Linked DNA regions of Saccharomyces cerevisiae S288C. The gene in region 1 interacts genetically with each later gene. Each region holds a gene or a part of one and is shown in the gene's direction. Other genes may lie near its edges.

The links.
Region 2: mutations in RPL22A (region 1) and TIM11 together harm fitness more than expected from each alone (negative genetic interaction), as found in Saccharomyces cerevisiae (2 studies listed by BioGRID).
Region 3: mutations in RPL22A (region 1) and SPS22 together harm fitness more than expected from each alone (negative genetic interaction), as found in Saccharomyces cerevisiae (2 studies listed by BioGRID).

Annotation. Positions count from the first base shown.
Region 1 is NC_001144.5:259,663-267,037, forward strand, and holds RPL22A (60S ribosomal protein eL22 RPL22A), read left to right. Parts: upstream 1-3,531; coding exon 3,532-3,543; intron 3,544-3,932; coding exon 3,933-4,286; downstream 4,287-7,375. Other genes in the region: REX2 (Rex2p), read right to left, coding at 76-885; FRS1 (phenylalanine--tRNA ligase subunit beta), read left to right, coding at 1,317-3,104; BMT6 (25S rRNA (uracil2843-N3)-methyltransferase), read left to right, coding at 4,495-5,592; PER33 (Per33p), read left to right, coding at 5,794-6,615; SND2 (Snd2p), read right to left, coding at 6,711-7,256.
Region 2 is NC_001136.10:1,111,503-1,114,949, reverse strand, and holds TIM11 (F1F0 ATP synthase subunit e), read left to right. Parts: upstream 1-2,656; coding exon 2,657-2,947; downstream 2,948-3,447. Other genes in the region: small subunit rRNA maturation protein UTP4, read left to right, coding at 1-517; PEP7 (phosphatidylinositol-3-phosphate binding protein), read left to right, coding at 923-2,470; mitochondrial 54S ribosomal protein mL38 MRPL35, read right to left, coding at 3,258-3,447. UniProt on the Saccharomyces cerevisiae protein: Mitochondrial membrane ATP synthase (F(1)F(0) ATP synthase or Complex V) produces ATP from ADP in the presence of a proton gradient across the membrane which is generated by electron transport complexes of the respiratory chain.
Region 3 is NC_001135.5:39,668-44,056, forward strand, and holds SPS22 (Sps22p), read left to right. Parts: upstream 1-2,497; coding exon 2,498-3,889; downstream 3,890-4,389. Other genes in the region: YCL049C (uncharacterized protein), read right to left, coding at 119-1,057; YCL048W-A (uncharacterized protein), read left to right, coding at 1,821-2,060; POF1 (nicotinamide-nucleotide adenylyltransferase), read right to left, coding at 3,994-4,389. UniProt on the Saccharomyces cerevisiae protein: Redundant with SPS2 for the organization of the beta-glucan layer of the spore wall.

The DNA of each region.
Region 1 (7,375 bases):
TTCTCACCAGGAGTCATGTTTCGTGTGTGAAATATTTGAAAAATTTCACTTCTTTTTTCTTTTTTTTTTTCTACATTAAAAATCGGTGCGTTGTCTTTTCAAAGATGAGGTAGATGAAGATGGTGACTCCGGCTGTTCAGATCCGATTGACTCGACCGACTCTGTTTCCTGTGGTGGCTTCAAGTAGTTGTCCATGTACCATTGCAATTGAGCTATGCTCTCTTTGATATCACTATAAGCAGTGTGGGCAGCTTCTTTTTTTGGATTACGTGCTTGTAAAGCGGGATTGTGTCTGCGGGCAACTTCCATGATGCTACTGACGTCAACTATTCTGTAAAAGAGATGATCAATGACCTTGGGAAACTCGCGGACCATGAACAAGCGGTCCATATGTACACTATTGCCTGCCAAGACGCCAACGTTCTTGTCTGGGATGTAGCGCTGGATGTACTCGAGCAGCTCATCTTCTACCTGGGCCAAAGTCTTCTCACTTGCCAAAACTTTGGCGGTGAGACCGCTATTACCGTGGTGCTCAATACACCACTCGTTCATTTTGTTCATCACCTCGGGACCATAATGGATGACGCTCTCATAATGCGAGTCTCCTTGGCCATCGGCCGCTTTGACGGGTGCCAGGTGTCCATCGGTGATGATGCAGCAAATCTCGATAATTCTGTCATTCACGTGGTCTAAACCGGTCATCTCGCAGTCGATCCAGACCAAGGGTTTGAACAGCTTGGTTTTAAGTTCGGGTGTTTGCGCCATTGATTGCAGGTTTTGGATGGTTCGAGGACGTAAGTACTGTGAAACGGATCTTCTGTACAGCGAGAAGAGGTTTGGGCGAGTGCGAGCTACGATTCTTGCCGGAAACAACAACCACTTCATCTTGATCTCTTCTGTTTATTTGTGAAAGCTCCTTTTCTTTTTTTTCATTTTCTTTGCAAATCGAAAAGTTCACACTGATTTTTTATTAGTTCTTTTAAGTGCCCAACTTGACAGGAAAAAGAAACACCCCAAAGGGAATACCAGTGTATGTAAGGCTTGAATTATACGTATGAGCATGCGTTTGATGGTTGTCGTCAGAGCCAGTGCTCTGAGAGTGTCCCAGATGACTACAACCCTTGTATAAAAGTACATCTTCTTGATTATTTATCACGACACACGAGGTGACCGATTATTCAGAATCGGTACCAAAAAAGAAAGAAAATTGAAGGAAATGAAAAATTTTCAATGTATTTCTCGAAAGCCTGGAGTTGATCAAATGTTCAAAAAATAGGGCAGAATAGCATAACACACATCAATAACACCGAGCCAGCATGCCTACCGTCTCCGTGAACAAGCAGCAATTATTTGATCTTCTAGGCAAAAACTACACTTCCCAAGAGTTCGATGAATTATGTTTTGAATTCGGTATGGAAATGGACGAAGACACCACAGAGGAGGCCTTGAAAACCGGGGAGGAGCCGGAATTGAAGCTTGATATCAGTGCCAATCGTTACGATTTGCTTTGTATCGAAGGTATTTCACAGTCGCTGAACGAATACTTGGAACGTAAAGAAAGACCTGACTATAAATTAAGCAAGCCAACCACTAAGTTGATCATCGACAAATCAACGGAGCAAATTAGACCTTTTGCTACCGCTGCTGTATTGAGAAATATCAAGCTTAACGAAAAATCTTACGCTTCTTTTATTGCCTTGCAAGATAAATTACATGCCAATCTATGTAGAAACAGAAGCTTGGTTGCCATGGGTACTCACGATTTAGATTCAATTGAAGGTCCATTCCATTACAGAGCTCTACCACCAAAGGACATCAAGTTCGTACCATTGAATCAAACCCAAGAGTTTACTGGTGACAAATTGATCGAGTTTTATAAATCTCCAGAACAGAAAAACAACATAGGGAGATACGTTCACATTATTGAGGATTCTCCAGTCTTCCCAGTTATTATGGACAGCAAAGATCGTGTTTGCTCCCTGCCACCATTAATCAATAGTGAACATTCGAAGATCTCTGTGAACACCCGTAACATTTTGATTGATATAACCGCCACCGATAAGACCAAAGCCGAGATCGTTTTGAACATATTAACTACAATGTTCTCACGTTATTGTGACGAACCATTCACGGTTGAGCCTGTAGAAATTGTCTCTGAACACAATGGCCAATCCCGTTTGGCGCCAAACTTCAACGATAGAATTATGGATGTCTCCATTAAGTACATCAACTCCTGTCTTGGCCTAGATCAATCCGCTGATGAAATTGCTCATTGTCTAAAGAAGATGTCGTTGCATGCCGTTCAATCAAAGGAAGACAAGGACATCTTGCACGTTGACATTCCGGTAACTAGACCTGATATTTTGCACGCTTGTGATATAATGGAAGATGCCGCTGTCGGTTATGGTTTCAATAATTTGCCAAAGGGTGAGAAATTATCCAATGCCAACTTCATTGCCAAACCATTACCAATCAACAAGGTTTCTGATATTTTCAGAGTTGCATCCTCTCAAGCCACGTGGGTTGAGGTTTTACCATTGACCTTATGTTCGCACGATGAAAACTTTAAATTTCTAAGACAATCCGACAATGGTGATTTAGCTGTCAAATTGGCCAACCCAAAGACTTTGGAATACCAAGTTGTTAGAACCACTTTATTGCCTGGTATCTTAAAGACAGTCAAGGAAAACAGAAAACATTCCTTGCCAATCAAAGTCTTTGAAACCGGTGACGTTGTATTTAAAGACGACAAACTAGAAAGGAAGGCGTACAATGAACGTCACTGGGCTGCCATCTACGTGGGTAAGAATTCTGGGTTTGAAATCATTCAAGGGTTATTGGGTAAAATCATGCAAACTTTTAGAACAGAGTGGATTGCAGACTACGGTGCTGCTGCTTCTGGCAGAGGTTACTGGATTGAAGAAGACGATTCTGTGAAAACCTACTTCCCAGGTAGAGGTGCCAAGGTCATGTTCAGATCCAAAGAAGGCGCTGAGCCAAAGCAAATCGGCCACTTGGGTGTCTTGCATCCTGAAGTCATGATGAATTTCGACGTTCCATTCGCTGCATCCTTTGTAGAGGTTAATGCCGAAGTCTTCCTATAATGTAATGTTCTAACAAAAATTTTTACTGATTTATAAAACTTATATAGATAGATAGACACATATATATATCTATATATAGAAACACAACTAAAGTTTACCATGTTTTATATAATATTACTACCGCTACTGAGTAAATGTTTAGCTTGTACTTAACTTTCAAAGACAGTTTTTTTGATAAACATCAGTACATTTAATAATACATCCATACATTTATGTTAATTTGTTTTTCCTTTCCACCTCAGTGCGCTTCTCTTTTGAAAAAATCCTCAACAGGCCACGCGAACAAATCTTACCGAGAATTTCCTAAAATGTTTCAAACTATCATTTAGCTGCATACAATATGTACATTATTAATTGAGATTAACAACTTTACCTGTACTTTACCGTTATCAAATTATAAACCACCAAAACAACAGATTAAGAAACAATGGCCCCAAACGTATGATACTTTAAAAGGAATCCACGCCCGATTACGAAGTCTATGTTTTACTGTTATTGTAATGATTGATTGTACGCGAATAACAAGGAAGATAGTAAAACCAAAAAAAAAAAAATAAAAATGTACGAAACGAAGAAGCGTCTATGTGTTTAGTTGCTTTTCTGTATTTTAAAAATTCACTACTTGAACATTGAACTCTATATCGACTCCCTTCTTTTTATCCGTTTCTGAATGTTTTTTTGTTTGAGATTGTCATATGTGATTGTTAATAGCAGTAGGCAACTTTGTGGTTTCGGGATTGAAAGAAAATCGTGAAATATTCGTTTTTTACTAACATTACTGTTCTGAAAATTTTTACTAATTTTCAATCTTTAATTTTTTTGATATAGACTTCCAGAAAGCAAAAGATTGCCAAGACCTTTACCGTCGATGTCTCTTCTCCAACTGAAAACGGTGTCTTCGACCCAGCTTCCTACGCTAAGTACTTGATCGACCACATCAAGGTCGAAGGTGCTGTCGGTAACTTGGGTAACGCTGTCACTGTCACTGAAGATGGTACCGTTGTTACTGTTGTTTCCACTGCCAAGTTCTCTGGTAAGTACTTGAAGTACTTGACAAAGAAGTACTTGAAGAAGAACCAATTGAGAGACTGGATCAGATTTGTCTCTACCAAGACCAACGAATACAGATTGGCCTTCTACCAAGTCACTCCAGAAGAAGACGAAGAAGAAGACGAAGAATAAATTCATTAATATTATTTTAAATAGAGCATAAGTTTTGTATAATTAAAATCTTCTAAACCTAATAAATATGTTTAATGAATGATTCAATATCAAAAAAAGAAATCCATTGGGCCCTTAGTGCATTTTTATTTTTTTTTTTTTTTTTTTTTTTTTTCTCTTTCTGAATTAGAGTACATCTCATCGCAGGGTCTCTTTTTGCACGTTTTTGATGTTGCTTATGAGACGCTTTGCCTTTTTAACTTCTTCAGTATATTTTAAATATATACCAATTTATTCACAATATCATTACTCTTCTCAGTTTCCAATTAACATGAATCCTAAAAAAGTGGCCCAATTGCCCGTTCACAATAAATCAACGCTTCCACCACAGGAAATAATCGATCTTTTTAAAATAACATTCTTAGAAGAGCTATATCCAAAAGATCAAGACAATGAAAAGTCACCGTTAACTGAACAAATACAGGCGGTAAAATCTGACCTTTATAACAGAGATTACAATGCTGCTTTCAATAACGACTCGAAAAGAATAGCATATTGTTGTCGTTGGTCACCGTCCAGAGCAACAAGTTACGCATCAGTATTTGCACATTTCCCTGAGCTTCTAAAGATTATCAGATGCGAAATTGATGACAAGGACTCAAATGTGCTCTGCATAGGTGGCGGCGCTGGTGGTGAGCTGGTTGCATTAGCGAGCATATTCACTTTATCGAGAGATTTTTCGTCTAAATTTGCCTCTGCTTTGAAAATAGACAACGAAGTAAACAAAAAGCCTAGAAATTTAAACATACAACTAGTAGATATCGCCGACTGGTCCACAGTTGTTGAAAAGCTAACAGCTACAATAAAGTCGAAATGGCTATATGGTGATTCAGAAGCAGAGTCATTTAACGTCAACTTTACCCACAAGGACTGCCTACAAATGACAGAGCCACAAGATATCAAGATATATCAAGGCCTCGACCTAATAACTCTACTTTTTACTACAAATGAACTATTTACACAGAAAAAAGTGGAGAGTATAAAATTTCTGCAACGGTTAAACGAGAACTGTGCCCCAGGCTGCCATCTTCTCATACTAGAGAGTGCAGGAAGCTATTCTCACATTACCATCAACAACAAGAAGTTCCCAATCCAATTTCTTATCGATACTATCTTAGTAGGCAATAGAAAGGACAAGGGAACGACAGGTCCATGGTCACTAGTATCCGAGAACGACAGTATTTGGTATAGAATGGACCCAAAACTCGACTACTCGATTCCATTGGAAAACATGCGATTCTTTTACCGTCTTTATGTCAAGAACTAACAGGCTTTATGACGTTTTACTGTTCTCTTTTCATTGTTCTTTTCTCGAAGAGTTTAGAAAAATTTTTTTTCTTCTCATCCACACCGAAAAAATATTAATAAGAGAGTTGAAAATTCGATTTGGAATCAGAAATAAAGAAGGGGCCACGATCAAACAAGACTCATTTCGAATAATTGTAAAAAAAAATTAGCACAAAACAATATGACCGTTCCCAGGAATCGTCCCATGGCACCATTTGGCACCATTATCAAATCAAGAATAAAACAACCCCAGTTTTATTGGTTTATAGGCCATTTTTTAACCATCTTTAACTTTATACAATTTCATCTTTCAATCACGTCCAAACAAAACCAATTGTCATGCTATAGAAGATCATTATTTTACATATCCGTTACATATGCCATCGTTCTTTACCAGTTTTTCAAAAGTGACCAGTTAAAGTTCAATTTTACGCTTTTGCGCCAAGAGATGAAGAAATTGGATAATTTGCAGTATTTTGCCATGCTATTCATACTTTTTCTCTTATCACAGTTTAACATCATAATCAGCGGCTCGTTATACAGTCCCGTTATCTTTTCAATCTTTCACTTCCTGAACTATTTTAAGGAAAACCTTTTGCCATTTTTGCCTTTGATACCACTTAATTTGAAAAATTTGTTGAACTCCAAAATAACGGTATTCATCCAAAACTACAATGGATTTTTCTTACAGATGGCGCAAGTATTTGAGATTATCTGCGGCCTACGTGTGGGCCTCTTCTTAGTGCCCTTCAATTTTTTCTTGTTGTTGGTAAGAAGAGCAAACGTGTCGTTTGAGGTAGTGGGTACAATGTTGGCAGGACTAACCTATGTATGGTTTTTCAAATTAAGGTACCTACAAAGTGAATCTATGAGGCAGATATTTAAACAATATGTCCTTAGGTTGGATGCATATGTCAGCCGTACTTTGCCCCCATATTGTTCCCGTTTATGGAACGGCTATAAGAATTTCGTTATGACAGTGTTTTGGAAGATACCTGTGTAGCATGCTCATTTTAAGTATATCTAAATATTATTTTGTATATACTCACACTCCTCTATAGAAAGCAAAAAATTTCAAAAACGTTTGAAAAGCTTTGTTTAACGATACTTGTACTTAATTTTAGAGTCAGTTTCACCCCTCCTCTCCCTTTTCATCTGCCTTTTGGATTTGGATTGTCCCTCATTAGCATTTTTTGAGCGATTATCTGCCTGAGTTTGTTGAGCGCCAGGCATGAACATGTTTTTGAGGCCATATAACTTGTAACCAGCATAGATGGGGCACAATAGTAGACACCACCAAAATTTGAATGTCCTGAAAGCTATAATACCAATGTTACCAAAAAGTGATAGATATATCAAATCAAAAAAATATGATATCAAATTTGTATTGTCGTTCAAGTCTATACCTTGTTTTACTACGCGATTGCCATCATATTTGGGCTTACCGGATAGCACAATGATATACAGAGCAACGAACATAGGAACGTTCAAAGCCACCAGCTTAATCCATTGGCCAATTGTAACCTTACGTGAAATGAATAGACGTACGATAGCCATTCCTAAAAACAAAGAGACTTGCTTGTATAAGCCCTGAATTATTTTTGCATTTGAACTAGCCTGTTTCCTCCCTGCTTTGCCAGCCATTCTACCAACACAAACTTAGACCACTGCCTTTGGTGTCTTCTTGAAGCCACACGTGAATACTACCTTTTTTTCATCTATTATCTTTTTTTAATTACGTTGAAATTTTTCATTTCAAAGGC
Region 2 (3,447 bases), on another chromosome or scaffold:
AGATAGCGAAAGCGTATTAACTCAATGGTCAAAAAACAATACGGATAACTTACCAAAAGAATGGAAGACATTAAAAGAGAACTGTGTAGGGATATTTTCAGACATAGAAAATAGTAGCAGATTATGGTTTTGGGGGGCTACTTGGATATCAAGAATAGACTTTGATGTTGACTTCCCTATAAATAAGAGAAGAAAACAGAAAAAACGTACACACGAAGGGCTAACTATCACAGATGAAAGTAATTTCATGAACGACGAGGAAGATGACGAAGATGACGATATTGATATGGAAATCAGCGAAAACTTGAATGTATTATTAAACCAAGGAAACAAAATAAAGTCCACAGATGTACAAAGAAACGAAGAAAGCTCCGGTCACTTCTTCTTTACTGATAAATATAAACCTTTACTGTTTGTTGACTTAATTTCTAGTAATGAATTGGCAATAATTGAAAGAAATCCATTAACTTTTCACTCCAAACAAAAGGCGTTTATTCAACCAAAGTTAGTGTTTTGATTAATTTAAGTCAACATACCGAAGAATAGAGAGATGCTATTAAAAGGCTATCATACTCTAAGGGCATTTTTCAGTTACAAAAAACTCTAATGGCGTTAGTACTTTATAGAAACTCGCTAATGTAAAATAGCCAAGCACATACGCAGACATATATATGTAGTAATCACGTATGCAGACATTAAATGTGAGCCATTTATTGGTATAAATGTATTCCTGAATTACAAAAGTACTGGCGATGGAATCACTCTGGCTATCACTGTTATTTCCAGGCAGGGTAATACTTTGGGAAAACAATAGAATAATGAAAACATATGATCAGTAGCTAAATTGACCGACCTAAAGAGCAAAGCCGGATCTCATGGTTTTTAAAGGGATATCACCGAATTTCCTGGCGACTTATCTATTATGGATCTTGAAAATGTTTCATGTCCCATTTGTCTAAGGAAGTTTGATAACTTACAAGCACTAAATGCACATTTAGATGTTGAGCATGGGTTTAACGATAATGAAGATTCACTCGGTTCCAATGACAGTCGTTTAGTCAATGGTAAACAAAAAAAGGCCAGATCTGTTGATAGCAGTGCGCAAAAGTTGAAAAGAAGCCATTGGGAAAAATTCAAAAAAGGGAAGAGCTGCTGTCACACATGTGGAAGGACTTTGAATAACAATATTGGCGCCATTAATTGTAGGAAATGTGGTAAACTGTATTGCAGAAGGCATCTTCCTAATATGATTAAACTTAATCTTTCCGCACAGTATGACCCCAGAAACGGGAAATGGTACAATTGCTGCCATGATTGTTTCGTCACAAAACCTGGCTATAACGATTATGGCGAAGTAATAGATTTAACACCAGAATTCTTTAAGGTACGAAATATAAAAAGAGAGGACAAAAACTTAAGGCTATTACAATTAGAAAATCGGTTTGTCCGTCTAGTTGATGGTCTGATTACACTCTATAACACATATTCTAGATCCATTATTCATAATTTGAAGATGAATAGTGAAATGTCCAAGTTAGAACGTACAGTTACTCCATGGAGAGATGATAGAAGTGTACTCTTTTGTAACATATGTTCCGAACCATTTGGGCTATTACTAAGGAAGCATCACTGCAGATTATGTGGTATGGTTGTTTGTGATGATGCAAACAGGAACTGCTCAAACGAAATAAGCATAGGTTATTTAATGTCTGCAGCGTCAGATCTGCCATTCGAATACAATATACAGAAGGATGATTTACTTCATATTCCTATATCCATAAGATTGTGCTCGCACTGTATCGATATGCTATTTATTGGCAGGAAATTTAACAAGGACGTTAGAATGCCGCTAAGTGGAATATTTGCTAAATATGATAGCATGCAAAATATATCCAAAGTAATTGATAGTCTCCTGCCCATTTTTGAAGACTCATTGAATAGCCTGAAGGTGGAGACTGCCAAGGATTCTGAAAATACACTTGATCCAAAGAATCTGAATGATCTCGCTCGATTAAGACATAAATTACTCAATTCTTTTAACTTGTATAATACACTAACAAGACAGCTCTTAAGTGTAGAACCTCAAAGTCATCTAGAGAGACAACTTCAAAATTCGATCAAGATAGCTTCCGCTGCATACATAAACGAAAAAATCCTACCGTTGAAGTCGCTTCCGGCAATTTTGAACCCAGAGGGCCATAAAACGAATGAAGATGGGCAAAAAGCTGAACCAGAGGTAAAGAAATTATCGCAACTAATGATCGAAAACTTGACCATAAAAGAAGTGAAAGAGCTGAGAGAAGAATTGATGGTCCTAAAGGAACAAAGCTACCTTATTGAGTCCACAATTCAGGACTATAAGAAGCAGCGTAGATTGGAGGAGATCGTCACACTTAATAAGAACTTAGAAGAATTGCACTCAAGAATACATACCGTTCAATCGAAGCTGGGTGACCATGGGTTTAATTAAGACATATCTTTATTATTCGATCATTCGCGGAATCTCCACGCTAATTGGTCCGCGGAGCCAATCAGATCTATTTAAGGGTATAAATTTTTCTTTAGTTTTTTTGACTTTTCACACAGAAATTTTAGATAAAAGGAAGTATTATATCGGAACATAACGTATATAGGAACTAGCTGAGTGAGTTAAAGGATGTCGACAGTTAATGTTTTGAGATACTCTGCGTTGGGTTTGGGGCTATTTTTTGGTTTTAGAAATGATATGATTTTGAAGTGTAATGCTAAGAAGAAAGAGGAGCAGGCACAGTACGAGGAGAAATTGAAGCTGGTAGAGGAGGCAAAGAAGGAATACGCCAAGCTACACCCTGTAGTAACTCCTAAAGATGTGCCTGCGAACGCCTCATTTAATTTGGAAGATCCTAATATAGATTTTGAAAGAGTTATTCTTAACGCCGTTGAATCCCTGAAGGAAGCTTCAACATAAATAGAAGCTTCAACATAAATAGGATACTAAAAATGCACATTAGCTCGCACTGAATGACGAAGTTATGATGGATTCTCGTTCGCTAGATGTTCCATATTTTTTTCTTCATTCGTTAGTGCACAAACAATAAGGAAAAAAATGAAATGTATATATTCTAGAACATACTAATATCATACGTATCGTATTGTAAACAAAATTCACATTCCAAAAATTTTTCAGATTCTTACTTTATATTATTTGCATCAAGCTTTATTAACAATGACACGTTATTTTATATGTACAGGATACTATAATGTCATACTATTTAGGATCACCTTCTAACTCTGCTAAAAACCCTTCCAGGTGGTAGGCCATATTTTTCTCTGACGGCGGCGACTTTGGCATCCCATTCGCTTCTCCAGATATGTGCCCCAATAGCGGTTAGATTGTATTTCTTCGTAAATTGCCTGATATCAAAATCATCTCTACTTAGTTCCTTTCGGTCAATCTCTAACATGTTA
Region 3 (4,389 bases), on another chromosome or scaffold:
ATTCACAAGATAAAAATCATATGTATGTTTCTGATATATCGATATACAATCAAACACTTTCAAGAATTTGTTTGTAGACTTTTTGCTAGAGACCTCATCAAAGTGCTACCAACTAAGATCAACTTATACTTCTTTTAGAGAAAATTTTTTTCAATGTACTCCAAAGAGATTTAGATCCTGTCTCTTCCTCTTCCTCTTCCTCGAAAGTCAAAGAAAAATCAGAGTCTCCCTGCTTATTCAGGCGGAGAGGCTCTAGGGTAGTTGCGTTTCTCTCATTGGGACACTGAACCTCATTTTCCAACATTTTGGTCATGTAAGAGGCGACAGGCTCATCGCAGGTGGGTGCATCAACATGGTAGTACCTGGACCAAGCGCTACATTGAGTCCCTCCTGGATAAACACCGCTACAATATTGTCTTTGGACGTTTGCCCAAACCATATCTTTTGAATACCAAAGCTGGACCACATTGTATGGCCTAATCATTGGTGCTACCATAATACTGGATTGGGAAACAGTCTGGTTAATTTTTTTCAACCAATTTTTCTTATCTAGCAATGATTTAATAAACCTGAAATCTAAATTGTCTTCGTTAGCGTCTGTGTCATAATCTACAATTGAGTACTGTGACGTCCAATTATATGGCACCGAGATGGGGAATCTGTCCGGTGTTTCGTCGCTGTTATCCTTCTCCTCCCTCCAAATGCAGTCAGAGGCAGGTGCCCATTCGGTTCGCCAGTCTCCGTTATTTACTACTTGGTACTGTTCCCAATCGTAATACGTTTCCTCTGGGTTGAAGATACTTGCTCTGCTCTTGACATTGCCCATAGCCACACCACGAGAAACATCGTGGAAGATTACGGAGCTGTTTACGATAGCAGGAGCAATGGATTTGACGAATGACACTTGATAAAAGTCTTTGGTCGAAAATACAGTATCAACGCCGTCGTGGGACTCGACCCCTGGTAGAAGAAGCAGAGCATCTAGATCAACGGTAGATGCTGCAGAGGTCAAAGCCACAAAGAGGGAAGATGCAGTTACGAGGTATTTACTAAACATTGGTTCGAAGTGATTACAGATTTTTCTCTCTTGAACCCTGGAATTGCAATAGCTTGGTTCCTATTGGGACCGGACCCTCTTGCGTAAAGTATATATTTAGAAGCAGCTATTTAAATCTGAATGCAAGACGAAAAAAAGCTCGTTTATAGGAGAAAAATACCAAAAAAAGGAAAACCATACACATTCGGGTATCCCAGCTTTGCTTGCAAAATCAATCGATGAGCAAGACAAACAGGGCCAGCTGATGCATATGTTTTGTGTTGCTTTCCTACGATCAGCTAATGCGAGTGTTATAAATATTCCCCTAGTTTTCTTCTCCTCCTTTATGTAACAATAACTTGTGGACTTCCCCAACATAAGACTAAAAGCAAAGGGATAACAAGGGATTTATCTTATTCCATCCCTTTGCCTAGCGCACTGTTACGCAGCTGATCTTATCAACAAGTGTGGTTCTTGCCTCTAAGATTTACATTGCCTTTTCCCAAAGGGAAGGTGGGACAAAACTCATTTTCCCTAAGGGGAAACGTAAGATACCCTTTAGGGAAGATAAGGGAAGTTAGTAGATTGACGACGTAAATCTGTGATGAGATGAAAAAAAAAGATTAGCATCTATATAAGAAAGTACATAACCTCCATTTAAGTTGAAAAAAATTTGTATGTAATGTCTTTTCTTCCTCTTTTCTTTATTTCATTCTCACCGCTAAATCGATAACGGCTAAAACAATTAAAGCTCCCTTTTCAAACCTTATACTTCCGTTAAATAATGCAAATCAAAAACATTGTCGCTGTTCTAGCTACAGTCACTGCTATCAACGCCCAAGTTGGCATTGAACCTAACGCCACTACTCCAAATGCTACGCAGCCAAATGCTACGCAGCCAAATACTACTCTTCCTACCGCTTCGGTGACTACGACAGTTTCGATTGGCGAAGCCGTAGTTAATACCATGGCGGCGGGTGCCTTTGGAGCAGCAATCGCTGCCGGTGTTGCCTTCTTATTCTAGGAACATTTTTATTTCCTTTATTTTTTTCTTTCTTTCTAATTCCATAACCGTTGTTCAAAATTGGGGAGCTTTTTAACTTTCGTTCCATTAAGCTTTTTCTTTGTTCTTTACGTTTGATTCTATTTCAACCATAATTTATTTTTTCGTTATTTAATAATTACTAATATTTAATACTAGATGTATATACGTTGTGTGTATGCGCTACTATAGTATAGCTTAACTGTTTTATTATACCCTTTTTTTCTCTCTTTACTGTACAGAAGATGCGTCACTAATTCAAAAAAAAAAAAAAAAAAAAAAATATAAAAAAGAAAGATTTTGGAGAAGCTATATCCTTTTGTGACATACAATAGAGAAACTTGTTCTGTTGGTAAGATATCTCATCTGAAATACAACAAGGAAAACCAAAAGCCATTTTTTCATTACTTGATCGACTTATGAACCGTATTACTAGGAAAAGTTGTTTATTCGCGATTATATTTGCATCATTATTTGTGACACATGCATTGGGTGCCGCTATTGATCCGCCAAGGCGACCACATAATGTGAAGCCTTTTCATAACGGTAATCTCGAACTTCAAAGAAGAGCAAATGAACCGTTTTTTGAAATAGATGTCAAGAGTCTGAACACAAACTCACCGATATCAGAGTTGTGTAAAAAAGATTTGCACGTCATTGAATCGTCTCATGATCTTTTTCATTTACAAAACCAATGTGAATTCATCTTGGGGTCATTAAAAGTCACAAACTATGATTCTAACATTTTGGATTTGAACAGCTTGAGGGCCATTGGTGGTGACCTGATTATTCAGGATTCACCTGAACTGATCAGAATCCAAGCCGGGAACTTGAATAAAATCGAAGGGCTCTTCCAATTACAGGGACTAACCTCTTTGGTTTCTGTTGAAATTCCAACTTTGAAATTTTGTCAGTCACTGGAGTGGAAAGTTGTTCCCATCTTGAACTACGTCTCCATGGATTCTCAGAATATTGAGATTATAAAGGATATTGTCATATCGGATACTTCATTAGCAAACATCGAGAATTTCAACAAGGTTCAGGAAATTGATACTTTCAATATCAATAATAACAGATTTTTAGAAACTATTCATTCGAACGTTAAAACCATTAGGGGACAATTCAGTGTACATGCGAACGCTAAGGAGCTAGAACTTGAAATGCCACACTTGAGAGAAGTGGAAAACATAACGATTAGGGACACATCATTGGTCTACCTTCCACAATTAACAAAAGTGAAAAGCTCTTTAGAGTTCATCGAAAATTACTTTTACGAATTGAACCTGAACAATTTGCAGAAGATTGGTGGAACATTAGGAATTATCAACAATGTAAATTTAATAAAAGTTAATTTGGAGAACTTAACAGACATTCAAGGTGGCTTGATGATCGCCGATAACGAATCCCTCGAGGATATTACTTTCCTGCCAAACTTGAAGCAGATTGGAGGTGCTATTTTCTTTGAAGGTTCGTTCAAAGATATCATGTTCGATAGCTTGAAACTGGTGAAAGGTAGCGCTTTTATTAAGAGTTCATCAAACGTGTTGGATTGCAATAAATGGACAAACCCATCAAATGGAAGATCAATCATCAGGGGTGGGAAATTCACTTGTATTTCTGGTAAGAAGGAAAATACGCTGAATGTTAAACAGGATGGTACAATCATAGAAAAAGGGTACAAAGATTTAACGCAAGAAGGTGAAGACTCCAAGAAAAGAGTGATTTCAAAATACGCGAACTCAGCAAATCCAAGCATGCAATTGGACCCCCTTCTTTTTGGTACATGCCTTGTTGCTATGTTATTGTTTTAAGATTACTAGTCTAGTATAACAGAAAGTTTTTTTTGTTCCTAATATTATCTTTATCTATATACATATATCTCCATGAAAGGCATTTGAATTTCTATCTTTCTCTTTCAATCAAATATTGTCTTATTATTGATCAAATAATCGTATATGCACAATGGCAACTCGTCTTTCAAACTCTCCACTTGCCCATTCTTCAGTTTGTTCCTAATCTCGGATGATGAAACATTTCTTAATGCTGGATAATCATTTTGCATAACATGAATCCTAGCGCCCCATTCTCTTGGTATTACCGGTTCGAATTTTCCCTCAAGGATGTCACTGGCGTATCTTAGTTGCGATTCAGCACTGAGATGGCAATCGCCTCTCGCCAAGCAATATAATTGAGATCCCGACATGAAGCTCTCCATTACATCACTGATTTTTAAAGGATGATAATATTTTTCATCAAAGATCCTAGCAATTGTATCAAAACCAACTAAGTAGCCTATATCTGCACTGCATCC